Linked DNA regions of Coturnix japonica. The protein of the gene in region 1 purifies or fractionates together with the protein of each later gene. This does not show direct contact. Links are inferred from orthologs where the notes say so. Each region holds a gene or a part of one and is shown in the gene's direction. Other genes may lie near its edges. The genes, in order: OSBPL9 and VAPA.

Region 1 (4,547 bases):
AATCAATGAAGGAAGTAACTGGCTAACTTCTATTTCAAGTAGTTCATTGAAACTGATGGTGGTGATGATGTGATACAAAGGGTACATAAAGGCAAGTTATACCACAGCTGGGGCTACCCAGTGTATGATGGAGCTTAGCCATTTCGGCCTATGGCGTAACAAGGTAAACCGAAAGCCCTTCAGTTGAGTTTCCAATTGAGAACATTCAGCCCTTTCACAGTTAAGCCAAGCTCTTTGCATAGCTTCAACTTTTGTGGCACAATACTGCAAAAGTCATGATCTGAGATAAAGCTCCAACCCAAGTGAAGCTTTAAATGGTAGCGCTGGTAACGTTCTGGCACCATCTGATGTTTTTGTTTTAATCTCCAGGCAGCCCTGCTTTGTTGGGTCAGTGAAACTAAACACAGAGGACTGCTGAGGTCATAGGCAGCCTGGAAAGGACTTAGCAAAATGAGCAAGCTGGACTTCAAGATGGACTCAGGTATTAGCTAGATTCAACTGGTAACACCACGCATAAACACAGCACCAGGTGCATTCTAATGTCAAAACTACCAACTTGGCTTGGTAACAAACTAGTGAGCAATGTGATGTGTGAAATGGGAGGGTGTATTAGAAACATACAAAACAACATACAAAAAAAAAAATACAATGGAATCAGACACAGAGACTGCCTTGGACTGATTCTTCTTCACAACCAGGGAAACAACTGGGTCCATCCCTAGGGAGGAGCATGAGTAGCTCTATGTCAAGAGAGATGTTGTGCTGAAGTACAGCTGAAATTACATATTTATGCTCAAGTGGAGCCAAAGAACACGCCTTTAACAGGAGATTTACCATTGTTCACAGCTGCAGGGGAATGCATTCCACATCGCTGGAGCAGACAGAAGGAAAGCTGTGTGCTGTTCCCATGAGCGTTACCCTTAAGGTGACCCTGAAGCCAACGCGTGCCATTTTCACCTCACACCCTGGATGCTTTTATGCACACCAGTCGTGGCAGACCTGAACACATGGATTTGACGGGTCAGACCCAGAGGTGAAGTGAACTGTGAGACACGGGGACAAACACAACCAAAGGAAAGCTGACAGAACAGCCACCAACCACCACAGCATCAACCACCACAGCCACCAACCACCACAGCATCACGCCCTTCCCACACAGCCCTCGGTGACACCTCGCCCTCTGAGGCTCACCGGGAGCCCCACTGCGGACACTCACAAACCCAAGCTCCCCGTCCCCGTTCCCGCTGTGCTCCCAACACCCCCCATCACATCACACCACATCTATTAGCGGTTCCCCCCCCTTCTCCCCGCCCCACCATTACACTCCCGGTCCCGCTGCGCGCGCAGGCCCGTCCCCCGTCCCCGCCCCGCCCCGCCGTGTCCGCAGGCCCCGCCCCGTCCCCTCCCGGCCGCCGCCGTGTCTCTCCCCGTGTCTCTCCCCTCACCGCACGGGCAGTGCGCGCGGCGGTGCCGGTTTCGGTGCTTAAGATGGCGTCTATCATGGAGGGCCCGCTGAGCAAATGGACCAATGTGATGAAGGGCTGGCAGTACCGCTGGTTCGTGCTGGACTACAACGCCGGGCTCCTCTCCTACTACACGGTGAGGGGCAGCGGCGGGCAGGGCGGGCGGGGAGCCCAGAGCCGGGCTGAGGAGCAGGGTGGGGGCGGGGAGGGGACGCGGGGCGGTGTGAGCGCTCGGGCGGCCAATGGGGAAGGAGGAGGCGGCGGGAGCGGCCAATGGGGAAGGAGGAGGCGGCGGGAGCGGCCAATGGGGTGGCGCTGCGGGGAGATTTATGGGTGGGGGCGAGCGGCGCTGTTATTGTTGGTGTCCGGCGCGGGGGCGGGGCCGTTGGGCGGGAGCGGCCGTTGGCGCTGAGGGGGCGTTCGGTCCGTCCCGGCCCGTGGGTGCTCACACAGCACCGGCACCTCCTTGGCAGCGCCGTGTGCCCGCTTCGCTGGCTCAGCAGCAGGGAGCTGCCACTAAGACGTCGGCTTGACGTTTCCGTCGAGAACTTCCCGCTTTTGAACGCGAAGTTGTGTAAAACAGCAGTCACACGGTGTATTCCTTGTGTTAAAATGGCATTGTTACAGGTACTTCCACAGTACGGCTACGTGTAAAACTTATGCTCCCTCATTCTGAATGTCCATCTCTGTTAGGGCAAGGCTTAGTTCCACAGCTCCACGAGTTTATAATTCAGCATTATCCACTTAGAAAACCTAATTCAAAACTCCTGCTTTACCTGCATCTGGGATATGGTGGAGAAATAGAGCTACCTTTATAGCTTTTTAATGGCTGTTTGTATGGCAGCTGTTTGAGGTGAAGGTCCAAGGTGCAAAGTCTCCTCATGCTCAGCTGTAGAAATAGAAGCAGTCACTGATGACTGGTGGATGATGATTCTGGTTACTGCAGCGACTTTCTGACTGTGGTCTTCACCAGTTTAATGAATATCAGTTCTGAAATCTCATTACTTCCTATGGTTAGATATCCCTACATACACGTTGCACTTCAATATAACTTAGCATGTCTGTCATTCTAATGACTTTTAGTTCTCAGATTAAAACATTCTTTTTTTTAACCTACCTGCCCTAAAAGTTCTACTTAGGATCGGAAAATCAAACCACGCTCCCTGCTTTGTGCCACGGAGTCCTGCAGTTAAATGTTCCTACAGAACGCTTTCTGTATTGGTCTGCAAAGTACTTCAGTTTATAATGTCAGTTTCAAAGACTGTGTTGAATAAGCAATAATGACATTAGGAGTTTGGGAGCTTTGTGTAGGAAATGGCCATTCAGAGATTTTGCCTGTGTTTCTGTGTACGTCTGCTTGTATTTTGAAATAGAAGCTTACCTGTGTGATCAGGTACATGCAGCTGAACACAGTTTGCTCTGAGCCAGTTTCAGCTTGAAGCAATGCAGTCTTTGCGTGTAGGTGCAGCTGCGTGATTTTGAACCTGAAACCAGCCCTTCCTGATGTGTATAATGCATGGGTGGGGTATGTTGAGATTGTTTCCACTTGGCTGTGTAGGTGTGCACCTGGAAACGACTTGGCTGACAGGAGAGCTTACATTTAACTCATCTACTTTTACCTTCTCGTCACCTCTTACAGACCCCTTAGCCCATTTCAGTCCAAAAAGTACAAGCAGGAGCTTTCTCCAGCAGGTGCAAGAGGCAGCTGGACTTTGGCAGGGGAGCTGTGGAAAGCTGCAAGGCGTTCCTGTCTGATGCAGCTGAAGTTTTCACTAGAGAGGTACAGAAGAGCAGATCTGTTCCTTGGCGTGTCCTCACATGGCTGTATTTCATCTTCTTGTGTAATAGCGTAAAATAGGCTGCAGAAGAGTCCATGTGGAATGAGCATCTAAGCAGCTGCTGTACAGCAGTATTGCATCTAAATTAGTATGCCTTTTCTTTTGCTAACTTGAGTAGTTATTAACCTAAATATGTTTTGAATGCGTAGACGAGGAACAAATGAACTCAATTACATTTACATTCCTGACACGATAAAAGACTTCAGGGATCAAGGCAAAAGTTCTTACATCGTTTGCTCTTCTCTGCTTTCCTTTTCTGTAGTTTGCAGTTTGTGTTCATACATTTCTCATCAGTTCTCATCCTCAGATTTGCTTATAATTGTATCTGAGAGTTTATTTATGAGTGATATATTCCAGAGAGTAAAAGGCCTGGACTCCTATCCAACTATTGATCATCTTTACATGGTTTTGCTTAGATAAATGACTTGTCCAGCAGCAGTAAATGATTGTCGTTGTTTTGTTTTCATTTTAAGAAGAAACAAATATGAAATAAATGTATCCCATTTTGGATCAGTTTGGCCAATGGTTTGAGAGATTAACAGTGACATGCTTTGATTTGTGAATCCACCGTTTCTCTTAGAGGTGAAGCAAATACAAGGCTATGAAGCACCGTGCTGTTTGCAGGATGTAGCTGGAGGCACTGACAGTATTTAAAAGGAAAGCCTCCAAATAGATCATCTCTGCTGGCACAGGAGTTGTAAAGTTGTTCCTTAAGCTGGTTTACAGCTGAGAAACTTTCTGCTGATTTGTTTTTTTCAGTTGAGTTCATTCTGTGGTTTTCTTTCTGCACGTCAGTGTGAAAACATGTGTTGGCTTTGTGCTGGCAGAGACAAAGAAATCGCTATGGAGGAAAAGGGAGGTGAAAGCAATTTGCTTTTTGTTGTGTTTTCGGATAGCAGTGCTGTCTTAAATGCACAGCCCGAGCTGTGACTGCCCATGGGAATCCTGTAGAAATAATCCAGAGAGCCCCTTGAGGTTGAAAGTCTGATTTAAAATTCACGTTTCATCTGTATTCTGTAAATAAATATTTTAATTGTATGAAAAGCTGAATTGGCGTAGCTGTGCGAACAGCACTAACAGCAAGGCCGGGACACAGGGAGGGCAGTTTGTTAAAGGACTTAAAACTTTATAGCTATTCGAGGTACTGTTGGAACTGCTTCAGGCTTTACAGCTGCCTTGAGTAGAGACTGAGGACTGAAAGAAAACCATACCCTGTATGACAGCGCTGTAGTGTACATTTTAGGAA
Region 2 (4,552 bases), on another chromosome or scaffold:
TGCAAGACACTTTCAAGTTCAGAGTTGGCGGAACCGAATAAACTACCTGAATAATAAACAGTGGAAAAGAGTATTATGAAACTGAGCCTACATTGATACTTCTCAGGCATAAAGAAAACTCATTTAATATTTAATAGCAAACAGCTCTGAAAAATGTCAGGCAGTCTCCAAACTGAGATACTATAACAACAATGATGCTGAATTCACAATGTGAATAAACATGAAGATCTACAAGCACACAGGACAAATGTTAAACTCACGTTAAGCAAATGTTAGCTGCCTGCAAGCAGTGATACAGATACTAGAGACACCTCCGGAATGACATACTAGGAGAGTGGTTAGGCCCTGGAACAGGCTGCCCAGGGAGGTTGTGGATGCCCCGTCCTTGGAGGTGTTCAAGGCCAGGTTGGACGGGGCCCTGGGCAACCTGATCTAGTAAATGTGTATGTTTGGTGGCCCTGCCAGGCAGGGGGGTTGGAACTACATGATCCTTGAGGTCCCTTCCAACCCGGGTCATTCTGTGATTCTGTGAATGACATCTCACTGCAATTGGTGAGAGGTTTTGCTACTGACTGCAACAGAGTCAAGACAGCCTATTTAAAAAGAGAAAGGAGAGAACCTCTGGAGGTATTTAGAGTTTTGCAGCAGCTCCTCGTATCTCACAGAATCACAGAATTGTAGGGGTTGGAAGGGACCTCTAGAGATCATGGAGTCCAACCCCCCTGCCAAAGCAGGTTCCCTACACCACGAAATTCTTTGAGAAAAAAAACTCAGAAATTCTTCAGGTATATAACTACCACATAATTCCGGGGCTGAATTATTGCTTCAGAGAAACACTGTGGAGTAATCTTTGGTGAGTCCACGAGAGAAGAAATTCCATCACCCACACTCCGATCTTGCATGAACTCACCCAGGCCTTTCACTTTTCACCCACTCTTACCCTCTCTCCGGCAGCTTCAATGACACCACACTGAGACGCCAGGCAGAGCACGACGCCACATCACCACACACCACCCCAACCTGGACTACAGAGCCCACCAGGCACCGAGAAACACTACAACCCCCAGCGGCGCATGCGTGTGCCCCGGTGGCGCAGTGGTAGCAATGCCGCGTTGCAACACTGGAGGCCCTGGGTTCGAATCCCCCCTGTGGCGCAAGTGGTAGAAGTGCCGCTCTGCTACACAGGGCTCGAATCCCGGGGGTTGGACTCAATGATCTCTCAGGTCCCTTCCAACCCGCACAACACTGTGATACTGTGTGATGCGCAGCGCTCCCACAGCCCGTTCCCGGAGCGTGGATCCGCTCCTTCCCGCTCGGCTCCGTCGCAGGGCTCCCGTCAGGGCCGGCGACCGGCGGTGGGGGAGCGAGCGAGCAAAGCGGGAGGGCGCATGCGCACAGCAGGCCCGGTCACTGCCGCCTCCGCCCTCGTGCCCGCGGAGTGGCGGCGTTGCCGGGGGCCGCCGGTGCGACGTGGGGAGCGAGCGGTGAGCAGCGAGCAGCGCCGGGCTAAAGAGCGGCTGCACCCGCCGCAAGGCGTAGGGAAAAGCGCTACCGCCGCCCGGGCTCCCCGTCCCGCCCCTCGTTCTCTTCCTCCTCCTCCTTCTCCTCCTCCTCCCCCTCCTCCTCCCACCCTCCCCCTCTCCTCCTCCCGCCGTAGCGAACGAGCGAGATGGCGGCCGCCGGGGCTCTGGCGAAGCACGAGCAGATTCTGGTGCTCGATCCGCCCACCGACCTTAAATTCAAAGGTGAGGGGCAGCGGGGCGCCGGGCGGCCGGGGCGGGGGGTGTCCCGCTTCCCTCGGCCGTCGCGAGGAGCCTCACCCCGTTCCGCGGGGCCGGGCCCTGCCCGCTCGGGTCCCTCGAGGAGGCCGCCGGCGCCGGGGTGGGGGGGTGCCGCCGAGGCGGGGAGCGGGCTCGGCCGCCGCCATCTTGCGATCCCGCGGCGGCTCCGGCGTGTCCGCGGCCCCGGCAGCGCCGCGGCCCGGCCCCCGGCGGGCACCGCGCCCGGTCTGCCCGCACAGCGGCTCCGGCCGCCCCCTGCCATGAGTGCCTACACGGGCGGCTCTGCTGTCAGCTCCGCCGGCGCTGAACGCTGCAGGTAGGGGCGGGAGGGAGGTCCCCGGGCTGAGGTGTTTTCGGGCATGTCACGTTTGTCGGGTGCGCCGCTGTCGGAAGGGGCTGCGGTCGGCGCTATTGGTGTATGGGGTGTTATCCCCTCCTCACCAATCACTCCATTCCCACAGCTATCCCAGCTGTGGCTCCTGCAGAGTGATTCTGGAAAGGTGTGTGTTAAAAAGAGCCAAACGCAACGGCAAAGCAAACGTGCTAGAATGAGATGTTGCTCATATGCTTAGCTTACATCTTTTGTAGCTGGTGTCAACACTCGTACTTGCATAATCCCGTAAGTGTTGGTGTTTGGTTTTTATTAGGCTCGTTTTTCATTGTTTAAGGGGCAATCGAGCATCCTGCCCTGTCAATTTAGAGAGCTGAACAAGCAGAGCAGGTTGATGTTCATATCAAAGACAAACACTATTTCCCCCAGATACTTTTGTCTGGTCCTGGCAATAAGACTGAAGTCTGCTTCATCAAAGGGGCTTTTCACAAGCTTTACCTGTTTTGGAGAGCCATCAAATCACTTAAAACAGAAAAAAAGGAAGAATTCTGTCGTGTCACGCATCTTAACTTCCTAATAGCTGCAGTTTTGAAATTGCACATCCAAAGGTACAACCAAAACCACAGTGGGAGCTTATGTATTATGTTAGAATATCTGCACCTGGGTTTCAATGCGCTGCACTCTTGCAGGAGCAGGTTGAAGCTCCTGCATCTTGTGTTGTCTTCAAGCTGGAAGCAAACCGTGTTTTTGTGTGGTTTGAAACGGTGTTGGTGACAGTGAATACAGCGAGTACTAGACGTAGAAATTGTCAGGATGAAGCTATTGTCAGACAGTGATCGGTGCTGTCATGTGTTTACAAAACACGTTTATTAGGCACGAAGTTTGGTTTCATGCTCATGCACATGGTAGGAAAATGTTGAGCAGATTGAGCGAACCTGAAGTCTGAAGTGTAATGGAACTGCAGTGGGACACCATGGCAAGTGCTCTCTAATACTGTATTATTACTGTAATACGCTACAGCAACACCTACCTATTTAAAGAGCAGCTGGTGCTTTCACAGAATCACAGAATTGTAGGGGTTGGAAGGGACCTCAAGAGATCATCAAGTCCAACCCCCCTGCCAAAGCAGGCTCCCTACACCACCTCACACAGGTAAATATTTTCCACCTGCTTATTGTTCTGAGGTCTTCAGAAAGGTCTGTGGGCCACAGGTAGTCATACAATTCTGAAGTGTTGAATGGAAGAGTTCACTATTGGCTGAAGAGAACAGCAAGTATTATCTTTTGAAACATAATTGGTTACTAAGAGAGTGCATGACTCAGAGTTTCTCAGCGTAACTTCGATGTAGGAAAATCATATGATCTCTTTTTTTTTTTTCAGTGTAGTTGGTTATTCAGAATTGTTTACTGGGATGGTTGTCCAATATTGGTATTATCGTCCTAATACTGTTGATGTCCGGCCATCAGAACAGAACAAATAGCTCCATAGGTTTTCTTGCCTCATTCAGTGACTTGTAGAGAATTTGCCGACCTTTAGGGTAGCAGTGAAATGTGTTAAAGTGCCCTTTTGCAAACAAGGACTTAAATTAAAGGGTTGGTAGAACTTATGTGAGGAACACTTGACAGCACTTAAAATTCATCAGCACTGTCTGATGAAGCTGTTGTTGGCTCATAGAGAAACTACGTGCTGAATTTGATTCCGCACCTTTCAAAAGGAGCCTATAAACTTGTCTCATCGTGGTTAACACGCTGTGTTTGCTTTGGTGTCAGAAAGATTAGAATCCCATTCTTGTAGTACCTGGCATTCCTAGGAATCCACTGATAGCGCGTTGGTGTTGGGCGATTCCCTCTGCTGCTGTGATAGCTGCGTTTCTTTGGGTTGTGGGGCCATCAGGGATGCCTAAGGGGAACCACGAGGCAAATGTATTTTGGAGCGTTGTGCAAATGTGTCAAGAGGAACAGAATTGTCTGTAGGTCTCGTTTAAGGAAGATTATCATCATTTGGAACTGGTTCCTTGTGAGTAAATACCTTGGTTTTTTTAGATCTATTTTAGCTGCTGAACAGTCATGTAGTGGAATGACGACGCTTGAAGTTTTCAAGTCCAAACTTTCTAGTTTTGTGATGGAAACTCAGCTGGTCTTCCTGAAATCAAAAGAGACAGTGATGTAATTGCAAGTTAACTCACATTTAGGTTGTTCTTAGAAAATGGTTCTTTTAAGAAAAAACATACTCCAGATTTTTACCCCAGACATAAGACCTGCTTTTGCGACATAGAATCATAGAATTAGCCTGGTTGGAAAAGACCTTGAAGATCATCAAGTCCAACCGCAGCCTAACCAGAACCCTAACTCTAACAACCCTACACTAAATCATATCCCTGAGCACCACATCCAAACGGCTCTTAAACACAACCAGGGATGTCAATTCAACCACCTCCCTG

The links.
Region 2: the proteins of OSBPL9 (region 1) and VAPA purify together in Homo sapiens (co-immunoprecipitation; 5 studies listed by BioGRID and IntAct, counting the BioPlex papers as one, with this or other methods). This does not show direct contact. The link is inferred for Coturnix japonica from reciprocal best matches to the Homo sapiens genes OSBPL9 and VAPA.

Annotation. Positions count from the first base shown.
Region 1 is NC_029523.1:21,539,813-21,544,359, forward strand, and holds the start of OSBPL9 (oxysterol-binding protein-related protein 9), read left to right. Parts: upstream 1-1,456; 5' UTR 1,457-1,488; coding exon 1,489-1,599; intron 1,600-2,071; exon of another isoform or gene 2,072-2,075; coding exon of another isoform or gene 2,076-2,090; intron 2,091-4,547. UniProt on the Homo sapiens protein: Interacts with OSBPL11 to function as lipid transfer proteins.
Region 2 is NC_029517.1:88,648,543-88,653,094, reverse strand, and holds the start of VAPA (vesicle-associated membrane protein-associated protein A), read left to right. Parts: upstream 1-1,537; 5' UTR 1,538-1,669; coding exon 1,670-1,745; intron 1,746-4,552. UniProt on the Homo sapiens protein: Endoplasmic reticulum (ER)-anchored protein that mediates the formation of contact sites between the ER and endosomes via interaction with FFAT motif-containing proteins such as STARD3 or WDR44.